Mytilus edulis: one gene and its partner. Each later gene encodes a partner of the first gene's protein in a complex. Links are inferred from orthologs where the notes say so. Each region holds a gene or a part of one and is shown on either strand. Other genes may lie near its edges.

What was found.
Region 2: the proteins of N-alpha-acetyltransferase 25, NatB auxiliary subunit-like (region 1) and N-alpha-acetyltransferase 20-like are in contact, whole or in part, in a cryo-EM structure (PDB 7STX), measured with the Homo sapiens proteins. The link is inferred for Mytilus edulis from reciprocal best matches to the Homo sapiens genes NAA25 and NAA20. Residues at the interface, in NP_079229.2 of Homo sapiens: Ser226, Glu227, Ile228, Asn259, Asp261, Asp262, Trp263, Gln264, Arg318, Arg321, Leu325, Lys362, Pro363, Cys364, Thr367, Asp368, Val371, Leu457, Thr459, Glu460, Leu461, Ser504, Ala506, Leu510, Leu532, Asp533, Lys535, His536, Ile537, Gln538; in NP_057184.1 of Homo sapiens: Thr2, Thr3, Leu4, Arg5, Thr8, Cys9, Asp10, Leu12, Phe13, Phe15, Asn16, Asn19, Leu20, Pro22, Leu23, Thr26, Tyr27, Gly28, Ile29, Pro30, Leu33, Gln34, Leu36, Ala37, His38, Pro40, Glu41, Pro49, Glu52, Met54.

What each region holds. Positions count from the first base shown.
Region 1 is NC_092349.1:22,081,157-22,090,614, forward strand, and holds the start of N-alpha-acetyltransferase 25, NatB auxiliary subunit-like, read left to right. Parts: upstream 1-5,711; 5' UTR 5,712-5,738; coding exon 5,739-5,793; intron 5,794-9,458. Other genes in the region: uncharacterized protein, read right to left, coding at 1,412-1,534, 3,116-3,287, 5,116-5,378. UniProt on the Homo sapiens protein: Non-catalytic subunit of the NatB complex which catalyzes acetylation of the N-terminal methionine residues of peptides beginning with Met-Asp, Met-Glu, Met-Asn and Met-Gln. May play a role in normal cell-cycle progression.
Region 2 is NC_092346.1:35,473,449-35,483,043, reverse strand, and holds the start of N-alpha-acetyltransferase 20-like, read right to left. Parts: upstream 4,098-9,595; 5' UTR 4,012-4,097; coding exon 3,959-4,011; intron 2,195-3,958; coding exon 2,170-2,194; intron 1,228-2,169; coding exon 1,137-1,227; intron 1-1,136. Other genes in the region: centrosomal protein of 112 kDa-like, read left to right, coding at 8,385-8,487. UniProt on the Homo sapiens protein: Catalytic subunit of the NatB complex which catalyzes acetylation of the N-terminal methionine residues of peptides beginning with Met-Asp, Met-Glu, Met-Asn and Met-Gln. Proteins with cell cycle functions are overrepresented in the pool of NatB substrates.

The DNA of each region.
Region 1 (9,458 bases):
TGCTTAATACTGTGCAATTGAAAAGACTTGCTATTGCACAATACTTAATATAATAATTTTAGATCCTGATTTGGACCAACTTGAAAACTGGGCCCATAATAAAAAAATCTAAGTACATTTTTGGATTTAGCATATCAAAGAACCCCAAGATTTCAATTTTTGTTAAAATCAGACTAAGTTTAATTTTGGACCCTTTGGACTTTAGTGTAGACCAATTTGAAAACAGGACCAAAAATGAAGAATCTACATACACAGTTAGATTTGGTATATCAAAGAACCCCATTTATTCAATTTTTGATGAAATCAAACAAAGTTTAATTTTGGACCCCGATTTGGACCAACTTGAAAACTGGGCCAATAATCAAGAATCTAAGTACATTTTTAGATTCAGCATATCAAAGAACCTAACTGATTCATTTTTTGTCAAAATCAAACTAAGTTTAATTTTGGACCCTTTGGACCTTAATGTAGACCAATTTGAAAACGGGACCAAAAGTTAAGAATCTACATACACAGTCATGACAGTTAGATTCGGCATATCAAAGAACCCCAATTATTCAATTTTGATGAAATCAAACAAAGTTTAATTTTGGACCCTTTGGGCCCCTTATTATGTTGGGACCACAACTCCCAAAATCAATACCAACCTTCCTTTTATGGTCATAAACCTTGTGTTTAAATTTCATAGATTTCTATTTACTTATACTAACGTTATGGTGCGAAAACCAAGAAAAATGCTTATTTGGGTCCCTTTTTGGCCCTTAATTCCTAAACTGTTTGGACCTAAACTCCCAAAATCAATACCAACCTTCCTTTTGTAGTCATTAACATTGTGTTTAAATTTCATTGATTTCTATTTACTTAATCTAAAGTTATTGTGCGAAAACCAAGAATAATGCTTATTTGGGCCCTTTTTTGGCCCCTAATTCCTAAACTGTTGAAACCAAAACTCCCAAAATCAATCCCAACCTTTCTTTTGTGGTCATAAAGCTTGTGTCAAAATTTCATAGATTTCTATTAACTTAAACTAAAGTTATAGTGCGAAAACCAAGAAAATGCTTATTTGGGCCCTTTTTGGCCCCTAATTCCTAAAATATTGGGACCAAAACTCCCAAAATCAATACCAACCTTCCTTTTGTGGTCATAAACCTTGTGTTAAAATTTCATAGATTTCCATTCACTTTTACTAAAGTTAGAGTGCGAAAACTAAAAGTATTCGGACGACGACGACGACAACGACGACGACGAAGACGACGACGCCAACGTGATAGCAATATACGACGAAAAAATTTTCAAATTTTGCGGTCGTATAAAAACATTTTATACAAATAGTACCCCTGACTGATTAAAACAAGGAATGTCAACATGGCCAAATACATCACAATAACACCTTTGACATGATCATGCTTACCTCCCCTTTTAATCCAAGTTGTATGGCTTTTCTTGGAAGTTTATCATATGTAGGAGAATGATCAGGATCCCATTGTAGTCGTACACTTATCTCGTCGGTTTGTAATTTCTGTTCTCTTTGAAACTATAAAGACAAAAATAAAATATATATACCGATACCGGTACTGCAAATTTTCTTCAATGCCTAGAATTGATTAATTTGGGATGTTGGTATAATTGAAGATTTTTTTTCCTGAACATACTTAATTTTCTACCATCATGACCTTCAAAGCAACAATTTATGTATACATCATTACCTTCAAAGCAACAATATGTGTATACATCATGACCTTCAAAGCAACAAAATATGTATACATCATGACCTTCAAAGCAACAATATGTGTATACATCATAACCTTCAAAGCAACAATATGTGTATACATCATGACCTTCAAAGCAACAAAATGTGTATACATCATGACCTTCAAAGCAACAATATGTGTATACATCATAACCTTCAAAGCAACAATATGTGTATACATCATGACCTTCAAAGCAACAATATGTGTATACATCATGACCTTCAAAGCAACAAAATGTGTATACATCATATACATGCAGTAGCAATATGTTGAATTGTTATAGTGAAGTACACTGTGGATTCTTCCTTATTTTTGAGTGATCTCTCAAAATTTTCAGTTTTTATGTAGCAATACATTGCATTTTGAATAGTCCATGCTTCTCCAATCTGACTTTGTAGGTTTGAACATATCATCATTATGATCATCTGAAATAGTTCAATATCTCTGATATTTATAGATTATCGTTGATCATCTCAACGAGACTGATTTTCTCCCTTGAGCTGGTACAGCGAAAGTGAGAAAAGCAATCCAGTTGAGATGACCAATGATAATCTGTTTATCGCTATTTTACCTATGACGCATCAATTTCATGTCAATTTTGTTAGCAACGCCACATGGCCACCTAAGTTTCCATCTCAAGCGAGAAGCATGATATGAAAATTATCACAAAAAAAAGATCAAAAGAAAAATGAACAAAATAGCGATAAAATAGTATACTGTGGATTCATCAATATTCAGTGGATAGTAACCAATCTTTGTGGATTTCATAGGACATGCAATAACTAAATGCCTACATCTGAACCCTAAATTCAATGAAGTATAAATTTTTCTAAAGGTTAAACATGCAGACTTGTGTAAGACCACAAAATTTAGTATCCCAGAAATACAATTTTCCGTAATCAACACCTCAATATAATATATATAATCAATGAATCTACAGTATATGATTCCAGAGGCTTCATTATCTTTCATGTTGACTGGTACTTTCCACGTTTCTAGGTGGTATTTTTCAATTTATTCCATGAGTATCTTATATAAAAATTCCTACATTTAGGCGGTACTTGTCAATAGCATAGGAGGGTAAAAGTACCGGGTACTGCCTCCTAATGAATGGCCTGTATGAATGACAGTTGCTTAATTATTGCTTTCCTACATCCATTTGAAGGTTGACCTGATCTGTTGTAGATGTCTATTGGATCTTTTGTTAAATTTTGGGTTGCTGTCTCACTGAAATATATACATGTATATACAACATTACATTGACCTATAATGATTTACTTTCATAAATTGTGACTTGGATGGAGAGTTGTCGCATTGGCATTCATACCACATCTTTTAATATCTATTGACTTATTTTAGCATACTTTTACTGTAAAGGCATTGGCCAATATTTTCTCAAATCCATGACGACTAATTCTAACTGCTAAAACTCTTTGTTGGTTGTTCTTGCTTGCCCATCCACAACGATACATCATCCACAGAAAATTAGTTTTTATCCATGACATTCTTTCATAACTGAATTGTTCCCCACCAAATCTACAAACAATTAAATGACATGCATGACATGATCGTGATTATTATTTAATTGTATGGCTGTGTATTTAAACAGTTTCTTAGAAGGCAATCATTTGTCTATTGGAAGGACCAGATGTCAGATGTTATTGTAACTCTATTGGCACAGTAACGAACACAGGGATATACATGATTCACAATAATGTACAACCATTCTTTCAATGATTATACCTCTAAATGATATTTCTAGAAGATAATTTTCAATCTTAAGCTAATAATTGAGTGGCAGGGTTTGCAAAAACTTTTTTCCCCTCCCTGGTGGTCCTTGAAGAAAATATGCTGGTCCTCACTATTATTTCTAATGCAAAATACTAAAATTGTGTCCGTCCTTTGTAAAATTTTGGTGGTCAAATCCTTAGGACCATCACTTTTCACAAACTCTAGAGTGGTATCTGATTTCCTCAATTAAGTAAACTAGATTGTATGACGTCATTCATGTAAGCCTAAGTCATTGTTCTTGCTTGTGAAAATATCAATCAGTGTATCTCCATGTAACCATTTTCAGTTGATATTGTAGCTCAGCCTTCACTGCCAGAAAAACTTGATCTGGTTTGAAGATGAAGAACACCAATAAATGTAATGTTCCTTAAAATTCATAAATTGTTGGGATTAATAAGAATACATGTATCTGTGTATGTTTATGTAGAAATGGTAAAATTAGTAAAATAGAACAAATGTTGATCACTTAAAACATTTGTAAAACAATGTAAAATAATAATATCCACAGAAAAATTCTGAGAAAAAATTCTATAGTAATGTCAAACTCAGACATGTCAAACTTTTTTCACCTCAATGTAGACTAATTTAAAAATGGGGCCCAATATCCAAAATAGTAATACATGTACAAGGTAAAAAAAACAAACAATTAAATATCTTAAATTAATCCCTTGAATTGGTTAAAAGATTTGTATTTATTTTCAATTGAAGATTTCTTGCTAAAGTGTACATGTGTATAAGGCAATACTGTGCAATTGAATATTTCTTGCTATTGCTCAATACTGTGCAGTTGTGCAAAACTGTGCTGTTTCAGAATTGATGATTTCTTACTATTGAGCAATGCTCATGATACTGAGCAATTGAAGATTTCTTGCTATTGCCTAACACTGTGCTATTGATATGGAACCTTGTGGTTCAATTTCAGAGAGATCTACATACACTCACACAAAAGTGATTGTCCAGAAACTACAAACATGCTTGTTTTGGTCCAATTTTTGGTCCCTAATTCCCCAACGGTTATTACTATAACACTGTATAAATACATGTATATCCCAACCTTTTTTATGTGGTATTGAACCTTCTGGTAAAACTTCATAGAGATCCATTCACTTTAAAAACTAAAGTTATTGTCCTGAAACCATTATGCATGTTATATGTTTCGAACGAAAAAAATTTGGGTTGTATTAAAAAGTTCAGCTTCTAGGTGGACTATGAAATCCTATTTACTATCAACACCACAGGCCCAACAGACCAACATGGCTTGAAAAATGTTTTGGGCCTGTTAGAATCAATCTAAAATGTTTGTAAAAATTCAGCTTAAAAATGTAATCTTGAATATAAAAAAGAAGATGTGGTATGATTGCCAATGAGACAAGTCTCCACATGGAGAAATTAACAACTACATGTACATGATGAATAAGGTCACTTTATGGCCTTCAACAATCCTTCACTTAATTTGTGAAAGTGTTACTGCTACAGGCAAGGATATTTCACAAGAATTTACAATCATTCATTACCACTTAAGGCTTCTTTTTCTCATTTTACATAAAATTTACTGATCTTGAAATTTGTTTACCTTTGATTTTGTACTGCATATTTAGCAATAGCTGTATTAAATGCTTGATACACAATAACACTGCGATCATCATACTGTGCTAGGATATGCTTTCCTTCTCTAGGCCATGAATCCCTCTGAAGGATATATTTTGCAATGTCTATACCTTTTGGTACTAAACACTGAGAATAGTTTATGCTGCAGGCCATATCAGATTTTTCAATTTCTGTGTCCTCCGTCTGCTTTTCAAGTGTCATGTCACCGACTCCCTGTGAACTATCCATTGTGAATTAAATCTGTTGAGTTAGTTGTTTTTCCAGAATATATGTTGTTGAAATGACTAATGTCATTGCACAACATTTTTGCTCAACATCAATTTCAAAGTGAAAGTGAAACCGGAAGCGCCGATCAACAACTAGAATAGAGCAATCCACTAAAAAAATAGATCTAAAGTAGTCGTCAAAATATAATCATAAACACTCTTTTTAGGTCGTTATTTCTAACTTCTTATAGTAAAAACAAAATTAATTGCACATGTTTTTACAGATAAAGTAAAAGAATACAATTCACAACATTTACCATTTAGAATAATCCGCAAACAGAAACTCACGAGATCTACTTGTTAGAACGAGATTTGCCTGAAAATGGCTTCTCGTAGCCATGTGGATGTGAACGAAAGGCGACTCAGACCTATTTATGGTCCGTTTATATATTTTATATGCATAAATCGTACTCTTATGAATATACAGACATAGAGAACAATATGAATATAACAAATCCAACCGATTTTTAACATTTCTGTGCAGTAATAACCGTTTTCAGAACACATTTCTGGTTGATAATTTTTGTAAAAATCATAGAAAATGAGATGCCGCCAATGAAAGTATTTATAATCTTATGTGGTTTAGACTTGACATGACAGACATCTTGACCTCTTTAATCTTCAAACATATTTTTTAGGATTTGAATCACATTCCTTCAATGATTGTAGGTAATCATGATAATCATAGACTAGAAAATAATTTTGTATTTCCCAAATTTCACTATAAAATTACAGACCAGAGCTCATATCTAAATTAAAGGCTTACAATCATATACAATTGATTTATATAATTGGTTATTACAACAATATTCATCACAGTGTACATGTTAATATACTCATCAACTGAAAATAAACTCACAGAGCCATGGTCAAAAAAGATAATCAATAGTACACAAGACACAACATAGAAATAATAAAGACTATCAATACAAACCCCACAAAAAACTGGGGGTGATCTCAGGTGCTCCGGTTGGGTAAGCAAATCCTGCTCCACATGTTGCACCCATCGTGTTGCTTATGTTATTACAAATCCGGTAAATAGTCTAATTGGGTAGGTCACATTGGTGAAAAGGGAAGGGGATTGTAGTTACGACATAAGGAACATATTTCATATCACTTGTCAAAGTGATTGATACTGTACAGTACACAATGAATAAATTAATTAGACATTGGATTCATTTATTTTTGTGGATCGAGGAAAACTTGTTCATGAATACTTGATTTCCTGGTTTTGCTAAAATATGCTGCTGCATACAAGCCTATGGAAAATAAGGTTTTTCGTTGAACATTTAATTAGGTGACGGTTCACCTGTTCCCATGAAATCCACGAAAATTGGTATCCAACCAATAATAATGAATCCGTAATACATCTACAAAGTTGTCAAAAACACCAAAACTATACATGCTATAGAATGATAGAATAGGAAACATTGAATAAATACAAAAAAAGATTGATAGTGAGGATAACATATCCTTCATCAGTTTATGATGTAAAATGGAATCTTTTTAATGTATGCTGAATTTCATTAGAAATCTTGAATTAATTCAAATTATAAACTGAACATTACAATTCTAAAAATTAGAAATTCACAGAAATTAAGTAATTTTATAATAGACAATGTTGCATATATATGAATATATCTGGATTTAAACAACACATCTATGTGCTGTGGTCTGCACTGCAAAAAAAAATAATTATAAATTTTTGTGCTTTACTACAACTGACACCAATTTTGAGTCAATTTGATAAATGATTTCTCCAAACAACAACTTATGATCCATGATGTGTTAATTACAGAATAATATTGCAGAAAAAAATTTTGCTCATGAGAATTCTAGATAATAGAATATGGTTTTCTTAATATGATTTTTTGCCCTGCTTTGATGGGTTCATTAAAAGACCTAATTTTACCCTATGAAAGCTTAGTAGTAGAAAAATCTTTATTTACTCAAATTTGTCAGGGATCTCCATGACCTGTTTCTGGTTTCTATTCAGACTCGAAAGATGCATGTTGCAAAGCATCAATTTGCCAGATAAAGTCATTAAAAACCTTTTCATTTGTCAACATTTGCTTTACAAATCTCTTTAACCTTTTACATAACTTGTACGAATCGTTTTCTTGTTGCTGCAAATCAGCCATACCGGTAATGGGTTCTGAATTTGACAGTGTCCATGAAAAATAAGCTCCACATCATATGATTTTTAACCCCCATAACAATTACCAAAAATACAAGAAATCTACATGGGGACCTTCATGACAGCTTTTGGTCATTCTCGACTAAGGGGGGACCATGAAGACTTGGCATTTAAATGGTTAAAAACGGAAATAAATGAAAATATTGATACTTCTAATTCTATAATGGAAATTCAAATAAATATAATTTAAATAAGCAATGAATTAGCATGTTCACCATTCCTTGTATGGAGGGATAAAATACTTCCGATCGCGCTACACTGTACAGCGTAGACACGGTTTGTAATGATGAAAGTTCCTCCATCGTTCAATTTTCATCCATGGAGATCCCTGTTTGTATTGACAAAAATGAGCATGTTTAAACAACAAAATTTAGATATAGGTATATACATAACATACAAACGTTAAATACAATTTATGTTTTCATGGTTTTAGAAAATTAAACACTTTCTTGGAATCTGATGTGCATTGATTTTCCAATCCATTCTACTATTGAGTATTGTTATCCATATACTGTGAAAGTACTTTTATTTCCGTGGTTGACTTTTTTGGAAAGATTAGAACTTGTTCTAAATCTTTACTAAGGCACCAGCCTCCCTAACAACAGGACAGGTTAGCTACTGTTACTAAATGTATTCACACTGAAATATAGTTCCCTATGGTTCTGATATATGTGCACATAATACACATATAAACTGAAAAAAAACTGGGTATATTATTGGAGCAGTTCATTCAAGAATGTATGTCATTAAGGTGTGTTGATGTGCAGGCTTTTAAAAAACATTTTGATTAGGTAACTGGGTATTGATTCAACTAGTATGATTGACAACTGTCATTATCACTAAACAATCAGAGACAAGGTGAACCTTTAATTACAATGCCCCACCTCCTAAACTGCCAATCAAATTGACCACATTACCTATCAACCTCAGTCTTACATAATTATACAGACCACTCAATATAATTCTTAATACACAAGTATTTGACCTCATAATTGAATACACAAATGTGTATATTAGATGTTTGATATTTATAAGCATTAAGGATGATAGATTTATTTATTGCCAATTACTTTTGATCTACATTACATAAAGTGATTCTGTAAATTATATCTGAAAGATAAATGATTAATGGATTAACAAGATCTTAAAAAAATGAAATATGAATATAAATATGAATAAATAAAAGGTATTCAAGTAAGGCCTATAATTTACTTGATAAATTTCCAATAATCATCTGTAATTAATCAACAATTAAATTAGTACACTTTTTTTTATCAGGAATTGGCTTGAAACAGCTTAAAAATTTTAAAACTTTTAATTATAACAAACCATTGTTTATAAGTTTATTTCCCATCAATCATTAGGCAGCAACCATTTGATTTTCGGGGAGTGGGGGGGGGGGGCTATGGTTTTTTTTGGAAAAAAAAGTTTGTTTCCAGTTTTTGGAGAAAAAAATAATTTGTTTTTGATTCTGAGAAAAAAAAATTGTTTGTTTCACCCTCAGCTGCCACTATATGTAATGCTAAAATGCTAAAATTGAAAGAAAAAAATTGTTTTCGATTTGTCGTGAAAAAAATAGATTGTTTATCGCCACAGGCGAAAAAAAAAAATTGTCCAGAAAAAAAAAACCATAGCCCCCCCCAGAAAATCAAATGGTTGCTGCCTTATGTCTATTTTAGTCATTTGAATTTTTATTAGAAGTGAATACATATGTTTGCAATCAAGAAAGAATCCACATTTAATAAGATAAGTTTTTTAATTGGTTACGTTGAAAAAGTACATTTTCAATGCCCTGTGTTGAAAAATACTTTAAAAATTGATCAAAAGGCACTCTAAAACTTTTAA
Region 2 (9,595 bases), on another chromosome or scaffold:
AAATGTTGCGCATTTACTCTGGCCAGTAGATAAATATGCTCAGTATATCCTATCTTTTGTCTTAGCAAAGATTATGTCAGTTGTAAATGTTATACATGTACTCGTATCAGTGAGTAAGGATTTAGTCATGCTAGTGAATGTCCTTATCATTCCAATTATTTGTACAGCTACTGAGATTCAGATACTTGTTAATATCATTCGTGTACCAAGTCCAAGGTCAGTGGGTCAGATACTTGAGTATACATGAATTAACTTGTGGACAAATTGCTATATCCAATTATTGTATGTATCTGAGATATTCAAATACAGTGAAACTTGGCTAAACTGAATCCTGCATAAACAGAAAACCTGTATAAAATTAAACTCAACATGTTCTTTAGCACCATCATATCAAATTGTATGCGTTGTGAATCTGATAAAAACCAAACATCGGCCCAAACCGAAACAAAATCTTAAGTCACTTGAAAGTTCAGTTTAAACAGGTCAGGTTTCTTTGTACTATTAGTTACATAGTGTGCTAGTGACCTAATACGGTATATATGGGGTCAGTAAATTCCATATGGGGTGAGAGCGAAGCTCGAATCCCCATATGGAATTTACTGACCCCATATATACCGTATTACGTCACTAGCACACTATGTAACGAATTTATCTTACCGACTATCTTCACGTGTGAAATTAAGAGTGATTCTCAAAACGAGCAAGTCTTCAATACTGTTAGCGCTAGGAAAATACTTCCATTAATCCTACAAAAACAGATGCCAACAATAACGACTTGTAAGGTTTAAATGTGTTTTATGAATTTGTTTCAATCTGAATCATCAATTTCTTCGTCTGTTGGAACTTTTAAGATTTTTTCTCAGAACCGTTTTGTTTTTTACAAAGGGACATAACACCATTACTAACCGTGTATTAAATAAGGCCCGCCCCCTTCTTACCAAATAAGGAATATAAAGGGACGTAACTCCACTACTAACCGTGTATGAGATAAACCCCGCCTCCCTACTAACCTAATATCAAATATACACGGTTTGCACACGGACGCTTTTAACCAATCATATTCCTGGAAATGTATAGGAGGTAAGATAATTAGAAATACTCTTACCAATGGGCAAATTATGAGAAAATGTACTTACTATATCCCATAATTTGTCCAGCCGGCGATTCAGCAACTTGGAAGTACTCTGGCCAGTGAGCAAGGTACTGCATGTAAAATGGTAAGCCATACTGAGAGTGTCAAGGAATAAAAACAAATCTAGATAAATAGTAACAACTCAGTGACAACATAAACTTCAGTTCCCATATCTGGACTTTACTTAATAACCTTACCATTCAATCATTCTGGTCAGTGATCAAAGAAGTATTTTTTTTACTGTTGCGTTGATTACAATTACAGGAAAAAGCTTTTGTTTTACAGTCATGACAGTAATGACCATTATTACATTAACTTGAAATATATGTGTATGTCTTGAATAAAAGAAAGGTAAAATTTTACTTATACGTACATTTGTGCCAATTACATGTAAGGACTATGATGGTTATATTCAACTAAATGCCTTTTCGAATAAAGATCTGGATACAATTAATTAGTTATATAAAAATATAAAGTTTTGTAGATGTGTTATTTTAGATTCTTTGTACAATTTTGAAGTGTACAAAATGTATATAAACTACAAAATCATCATAGTCACATGTAGGTCAGAACAATTTATTACATGTACCAAATAAGAACCTTTCTAAACCTCTATTGTATGTCTAGGCATTGAGTATTTAATACAGGTCCTTGGTGTACAAATATACTGTGAGTTAAGCATATAGACAATACTATACTGTTTCAAATTTGAAAAGAAAGTTATATTGCAATTGCAGTAAATGTCCCAGTTTATTTTGGTCTGAATGGTTCTCCTCAAGGTCTGTGTCCAAGGCAAGGCAATGTTCATGTCCATCAATAATTGTATTTTAATACAACATAATTGAATCATATGTAACTTCAATCTCTTCAAATTAGGAGAAAAGCTCCTATTTTCTCTTTATTTCTGAAGCTACATGCATACATAGATACATTGTATAGGAAGATGTGGTGTGAGAATGTTTAGTACAACATTTTTGGGGGTTTAAAAACACAGAAGAGGCATATCAATTTCATTCTGTTCTTGGTATGAAGGATACAGTTTCTGTCAGTGGATCTAAATTCCTGCAAAATAATATCAAAATTTAATCCTTTCAATCTAATTTGTAGCATCCATTATCGATTTTATTAGAACTGTTTGTTGAACATGTTGAATATCGAATGGAACAAAACATTTCAAGCATTTAGCAGGTGTAGTATCATTTAAAAATACTACCTACTTAATCAATCTGAACAAACAAAAAACAAAATATATTTATTATTCCTTAGAAATATAAACAGAGGAAACTTTACAAAATATCCCTCATTTTGGGGGTCTCTAAAAAATCCCTAAAAATCAGAACAGGTCAATATTTCTGGGCAAACCCTTCTATTTTTTAATTGTTTGCTGTAGAAATACTGAAAAAAGATATAATCAACATACTATTATAAAATAAGGATGCTGAAATTACTACATCACTACACCAAGTACACTGAATGAGGGTACATTTGTAGTAGTTCCCTTTACCGTCAGATGCAAACAGTCATTTTCACCTATCGTTAGCGTCAAATTGGTTAAAATTTTACTGTGATTTGTCAAAACATCCTATTAAATTGTGATTCATCTCAAATAATTATCTCTACCGTTATTTTTGGAATTTTTTTTACAAGATTTATCAAAATTAAGCGATTTCTTATCATCTAAAAGAAAGTGCACATTTAATTATCACCAAAACATACTGTTTACATCATTTGGCAATAAATTTATTATTTGTTTTCATGAGAAAGTATTCCAATTACCACACTCCTAAAATTAGAGGTGGAAACGTGAATGCATGGAATGGGCAAACATGTCTGCCAGGGTATCAGGTCCGTTCGCGCCCAATACACTTTCGCATCTCGCACGTTGCACCCAAGGTCCGTTCGCACTCTACACATTCGCGCCCAATTTTAATTCAAATTCCAGTTGAATAATTGGAAAATCATGATATTTGTTTTAAATTGCTTTGGTGTAAATACTGAATGTATTTATAGCTTGGTATGAGTAAAACATTGAAGATTTTAAATGAATAACACAAAAGATAATTGTTTTTAACTGCTTGGTCCCTTTGATCTGAAACAATGAAACAACAAAATATAGAAATATTATAACCAAAACATGATAAAAATTTTTCAACACACAGACAGAATCTCACTTTATTTTGAAACAAGTCAATGCAACAAAGTTATAGAAATACACTGACCAAAACATGATTAACTAACAGTTATTCAACACAAAATAAAGCGTTGACAGAATCCCACTTTATTTAGAAAGGATTATTATTTTTTTTTAACAATACATATCCAAAACATGATGAAGATTCATTCAACACCAAAAAAAATGCTGTTTCACTTTATCAGTTTGAGACTATGACAACAATTATACTTACAAGAATACACTTGCCAAAACTTGATCATGTTGATTACAAAGTTATTAAACACAAAACAAATTAAAATTGGGCGCGAACGGACTTTGGGTGCTGTAGGGTGCGAAAGTGAAAGGGGGCGAATATGAGTGGGTGCGAACGTGAATGGGCACGAACGGACCCAGATTTGTCTGCCAGGGCGAACAGACCAAGATTCCATTAGCTGTAACTTTTTTGTCATATATATAGGATAGAGAACGCCATTGACAGTTAAATGTCGTATGATCCTCTAAACAATCCCTTGAGATTTATATCATATATTTTATTTCACATTTAGATAAATTATCATATTTACATGATAAATAATAAAAAAAAAAGTCAAACACATTAAAAAGGATAAAGTGACACTGACAGAACTGGTTACCATTGTAAAGCCTATACTTACACATTATTAAATCTAAATAAGTCGTCACAAGTAAACGGACGAATAGTCGTCATCCCTAAGAAGGACAGGGAGCTCGGACAGGTGCCCGACCGGCCTAAAAATAAAACCGGAAGTTAATTCATGCAAGTTTTGATAAAAAGATAGATTTATTATTTCCATTGTGATTACCTGTATCTAGATTAAAGCTTATGTAATATAATCTATCATGCTGTAATTTAATTATTCATATTTTAATATTTTGTTTGTGAAAAGGAATTAGTATTTATTACATTTCAAAGGTAACTTTTGTTGTGTTTAGAATTCTTATTTCTTTATTCATAGCCTAAAATTGAAAATTCAAACATCCGGTCGTGTTACTGACCAAGCTCCTTTTTAAAAAATCGTTGCTATGATTTCGAAATAAGTAACTAGTCCTGCATTGAACACCAGGTTTGATAATTAACATACACTAGGTAAACCTTATGCATATTCATAAATCTTACTTCACATTGCACTAATAAGCTGATTAAAAAATCACAACAAAGTCAACATGCCTGATCACGTTTATCGAGTTTGATTTGATTAGTATTTGTGTTTATATTATTTACAGTTGTGCATATCTCACACTTAAACCATTTATTGTTGCATATATAGGTAAGATTACCATTGCTTGCATTCATCATTCATGTCATTTCAAACATAAAACATTTATCATGATCTTTTAAATGAAATGAACAGGAATTTGAAAGGTGTCAATTGAAGAAAAATATGATAGTAAAATGCATTTTTTTCAATTTCTATTTTTCTAAACATGCTAAATATTTTAGCATCTTTTGTCTAAACAAATGTAGATTTTTGTGTATAATCTTCTTCTTCAAGGTAAGGAACCGAATTCAAATCTTGAATGTATGAGGTCCCGCGAAAACTAACGCAATGTCGGACAACACAGAAAGTTTTCTCTTGGCTATTTACAGGATAAAACGTTCTCTATATATATACAATTAAAACTATGTACAGGATGTTACTGTCTAAATTTTAGCAGAGCATGCCTTCAGGGCAGCTCTGAATCCATCAACTGTGTCAGCTGATGTTGCGGATGTTGGCAGTTGGTTCCAGTCTCTAATGGTCCTTGGAAAAAATGATTGTCCGAAGGCGTCTGTTGTGGCCCTTTCTTGGAAGAAGCGGGTTTTACCTCTGGTCCGGCTATCGTTTGGCGTTAGATATTGGTGCCTATCTATGTCTATCAGATCATGTTGGATTTTGAATAGCATGCATAGCCTATTTTGTTTCCTGCGGTCTTCAAGGCTTTCCCATTTTAAAGATGTTACTATTTTTGTTACACAGCCAGGTGTGCGGTCTGTGTAGTTGTTGTTGACAAATCTAGCTGCTCTTTTCTGTACCTGCTCTATTGCTTTTATTTTAGCCTGTTTCGTAGGGTCCCATTACTGTGCTAGCATACTCAATTGAAGGTCTTACTATTGTTGAATATGCTGCTGCTTTGACCGGTTTAGTGCAATCTTTAAGGTTACGTCGTATGAAACCTAATGTTTTGTTTCCTTTTCCTTCTATGTTGTCGATGTGTCTGTCCCAGGTTAGATTATTGCTGATAGTAACTCCCAGGTATTTACTAGCTTCAACGGTGTCCAGTGTGTGTCCGTGTAATTTGTAATTAGTTGGTATTACAGGACGGTTCTTGGGTTGTATTCTAATTACAATGCAGTTTTTTGGGCCACAATTAAAAATATTTCAGTTTGCCCAAACCCGACCCAAGATGACTGGGTGTGGGTAGGTAGGTAGGCAAATTCTTTTTTTTTTCAGAATTTGCATGAAAATATTAAAAGATCTTAAAACAGTACATCTTTTTTTCCCGTTAAACCTTTGTAGAGTCAACCAAAAGCCATGAATTTAAAACCTCTATAAATAAATTAGTCTACTATATGATTTGTATCCTGAGATGTTTATAACCCTGACAATTGCTAAATGTGTGAAAGGGCTGGTGGATTTATGAAGTGATTTTCAACAGTTACATCAACAAGATGTTTGTGTAAAAAAAAATATCAGCTGACTATGTAATGATTTAATTTGTTTGCAGTTTTTAAATCCTATATCTTTTAAAATAGATTAAATGTCCTAAAATATTTTATATGAACTATTATCTACCATCCATAGTTTCTGTCTTTTTATGTTTTGACAACAAATTTATATTTTTACATTATCACACAGGTAAACTAATTTGGCCATAAATAGATCAAAACATGTTCTGTAGAATCTCCAAACCAAAAACGTATTTGTTATAATTTTATTTCTTTAAATAATCAAGTTTTTTTTTTTTTAAATAATCATTATTGATAAAATATAATTGCATAAAGTTAACGTTTTCTGGAGACTATTTATTTTTAGGTCATGGTTCTAGAGGCTTCCTCACAAATTTGTATAAAAATCCAACCATAACATGTGTTTGTAACTTTTGCACATGTGAAAAAAATATTTCTGACAAAAGCCAGATTTTTCTTGTCAAAGGGGATTTACATTGCACTAAATTATTCAGAAAGAGTTACATTCAGTTAAGATTATATTTCTGATTCTGTGAGCAATTATAGTTTAATCAAATTCTCCCAAACAGCAACGTATCTTGTCAAAAAAAGAGGGACGACAGATACCAAAGGGGCAGTCAAACTCATAAATCTAAAACAAACTGACAACGCCATGGCTAAAAATGAAAAAGACAAACAGAAAAACAATAGTACACATGACACAACATAGAAAACTAAAGAATAAACAACACGAACCCCACCAAAAACCAACTGTCAACTGAGACTTGTAAATTTGAACTATTTGAATAAAAGGGCATCTAATTCACATGATAACGGAAGATTATAATTTAAGACAACAATTTTTCAAGAAGTAATTCCTTTTTATTCAGTAAAAACAAAATCTTTTTGCAAGATTGTAAATTCGCAACTTCCGGATCCATTTCCTGTCAGAGTAACATTGAAAATATTCGATTGCACATGGTTTTGAACAAATCTACCTGAATATTCTTATCAGATATTCGATTACACGATGAAATTAACATTGAGCATATAGGTAAGGGTTTGTTAGTACATGTACAGACAACAACAGCGTAAAAAAACTGTGCCACTTCACATGTTTCACTTCTTTACGTTCGTTAAATCAGAAGATAAAAACAGAGAACATCGAAGATCGATTAACTGCGTCTCTTATGCGCTTTCTTTTAATCATATTCACAGTTACTTTCAAACGCAAAGACGACCAACATTAAGTTTTATACAATGACGGAGCGGACATGAAAAGAATCCGCAAAAAAAAAAAATTCTTCTAAAAAACGTCAAAAAAAGAATTTGAGTCGGCGGGTTTATTTTGGGTCGGTCGCGTTTGGGCAAACATACAATCTTTTTATTTTGGCCTTGCATTGAAGCTCATTTGCCACTTATCTTCCCAATCCTCTAATGATGTGAGATCTTTCTGTAGTAGGTCACTTTCTGCTTGGTTACTGATAGTTCGATAGATAATGATATACATAAATATAAGAAGATGTGGAATGAGGACCAATGAGTCAACATTCCATATAACTCCAAGTCACAATTTGTAAAAGTTATCCATAATGCATTATAGGTCAAAGTACGGTCTTCAACACAGAGCCTTTGCTCACACCAAATATACATCTTTACTCATATAATAGTTGATATGAGGCAGGCATGACCTGTGAACATGGTGAATGGGGATGAAGTCTGTACTTTTAAAAAAAAAATCGAGCATGTTGATAAAAGAAACTGAAATACCGTAACATTTCCGATACTGGTTCTGTTGTCAGGGGTTTAAGTTATGACGTCATATTCAATGTAAACAAAGAATGTTGTTATCAGGTAACATTTTTTTCATATCAAACAATTATTTAAAATTATTGGGTGTTGAATTCCTTCCTTTAGGCTATACAGTGCTCTCCCCAGATATTTCATTTAGCATCCTGGGTTACAGGGGAAATTGAACATGTTGAAATACAATTATGTATCTGAAAATTATAGCATCACATCCATAACACTACCTATAAGAGAACCATTTCAGATAGCATCACATTTAAGATTATAGCATCACATACCCATGATGCTAAAAGGCCCTGGGCAGAACACTGCTCTATTTGTTGATATGTTGATAAATATACATTTTATTCAAAGTCTCATGCAAACAAGACCGGAACAGGAAGTAGAACTGAAAAAAAAAGTTAACGATTTTGACTTCATTAGTAGAAATTTTTTATTTTTTTTTATTGATTTTTCTACCGTAATTCGGGACTTCGTCCCCATATTATTATATTACTATCTTAAGATACCATAATCAGGTGTATTTTAAACTATGCATGATTTCAAAATAATCCATGTGGGATTTAAAACATTATTTTCTTTTTAATAGGTTAGCTTGGTTAAAAATGGCATTTTCTGAAGATCCTGTGTATGTGTCTTTGGACCAGAAGTTTGACAAAGTTTTGGCAGATATGAAGCCATATGTATTGAAGCTACCACACAAAACAGGTAATATTAATGTAGATTTTAAAACGTTATTAAACAATGTTTTGGCAAAAATTTATTTCTTATTTGCATTGCTTTTATAATTATCATGATTATAAACTGTTTAAAGTATTTTTCTTTTGCTATGACTTGTTAGATAGACATGATTTGTAGAACTAATGTATTTACTGCATTTGCGTATGTAATATTTGTTTTAATGATTATGTGCAATAAGGGCATATACATGTACACTACATTTTGTTTGGATCTCATTATTTTTACGATGAAGATAATGGAGCCCAACTCCTGTGACGTTCAATCAAGTTTATCCTCTGGCTGTTAGTGTTAATGTATATGCCTTCAACATTACAAACTGTTGGAAAATAAAAAGTTTGTCTGTTCATATCTCAGGTCACAAATATTAAAAGCTAATTTTCACAGTCTTAAAAGTCATATGATATGTCAATTTACCTAGATTGTCATGATTATGTCCAATTCACTATCCCTTTTAGCTGGGTGATTCATTCAATTGAGAGTGGTGCACACATGTTTGTATATTCAAAATATGTTTACGAGTTTTGAACATCTGTCAACCTCTGTTGTCTCTTATTATTCACTTTAGATTTCTTAGGTTTAAATTCTATTATGTATACAATCACTGCAGTGTCCATGTATATATATGTACATGTCACATGGTGTGTAATTTCCACTTTTATATTGAGCAGACCAGTCAACTAGAGATGGTAAATCAATCCATATGTTTCAAAAATAAATGTCTTCCTCATAGTCCTTTTTAGCTGGTCTGGAAAAGATTGTGTACAAATAAAATCAAACTAGTATTATGGTATTATGTACTTAAATAAAATTATATTAGATCTATCTTATTGTAAAAAGTTTTGAAATTTGAAATATTTTTGGTATTACATTCCTGTTAATTTCAGTAATTTTTACTTGAAAGGAGTAGGTCCAGTAAGACCCCTTTTTGGCCCCAAAATATGGCGGTTTTACAAAATTGTTAAAATGTAAACTTTTAGTCATTTATTGGACAGTAGAATGGTTCTGCTACATAAATATGGGCTGTTTTTGACAATACAACAGGGCTCACACTACTTCAGAATTATAGGGAGAAGTG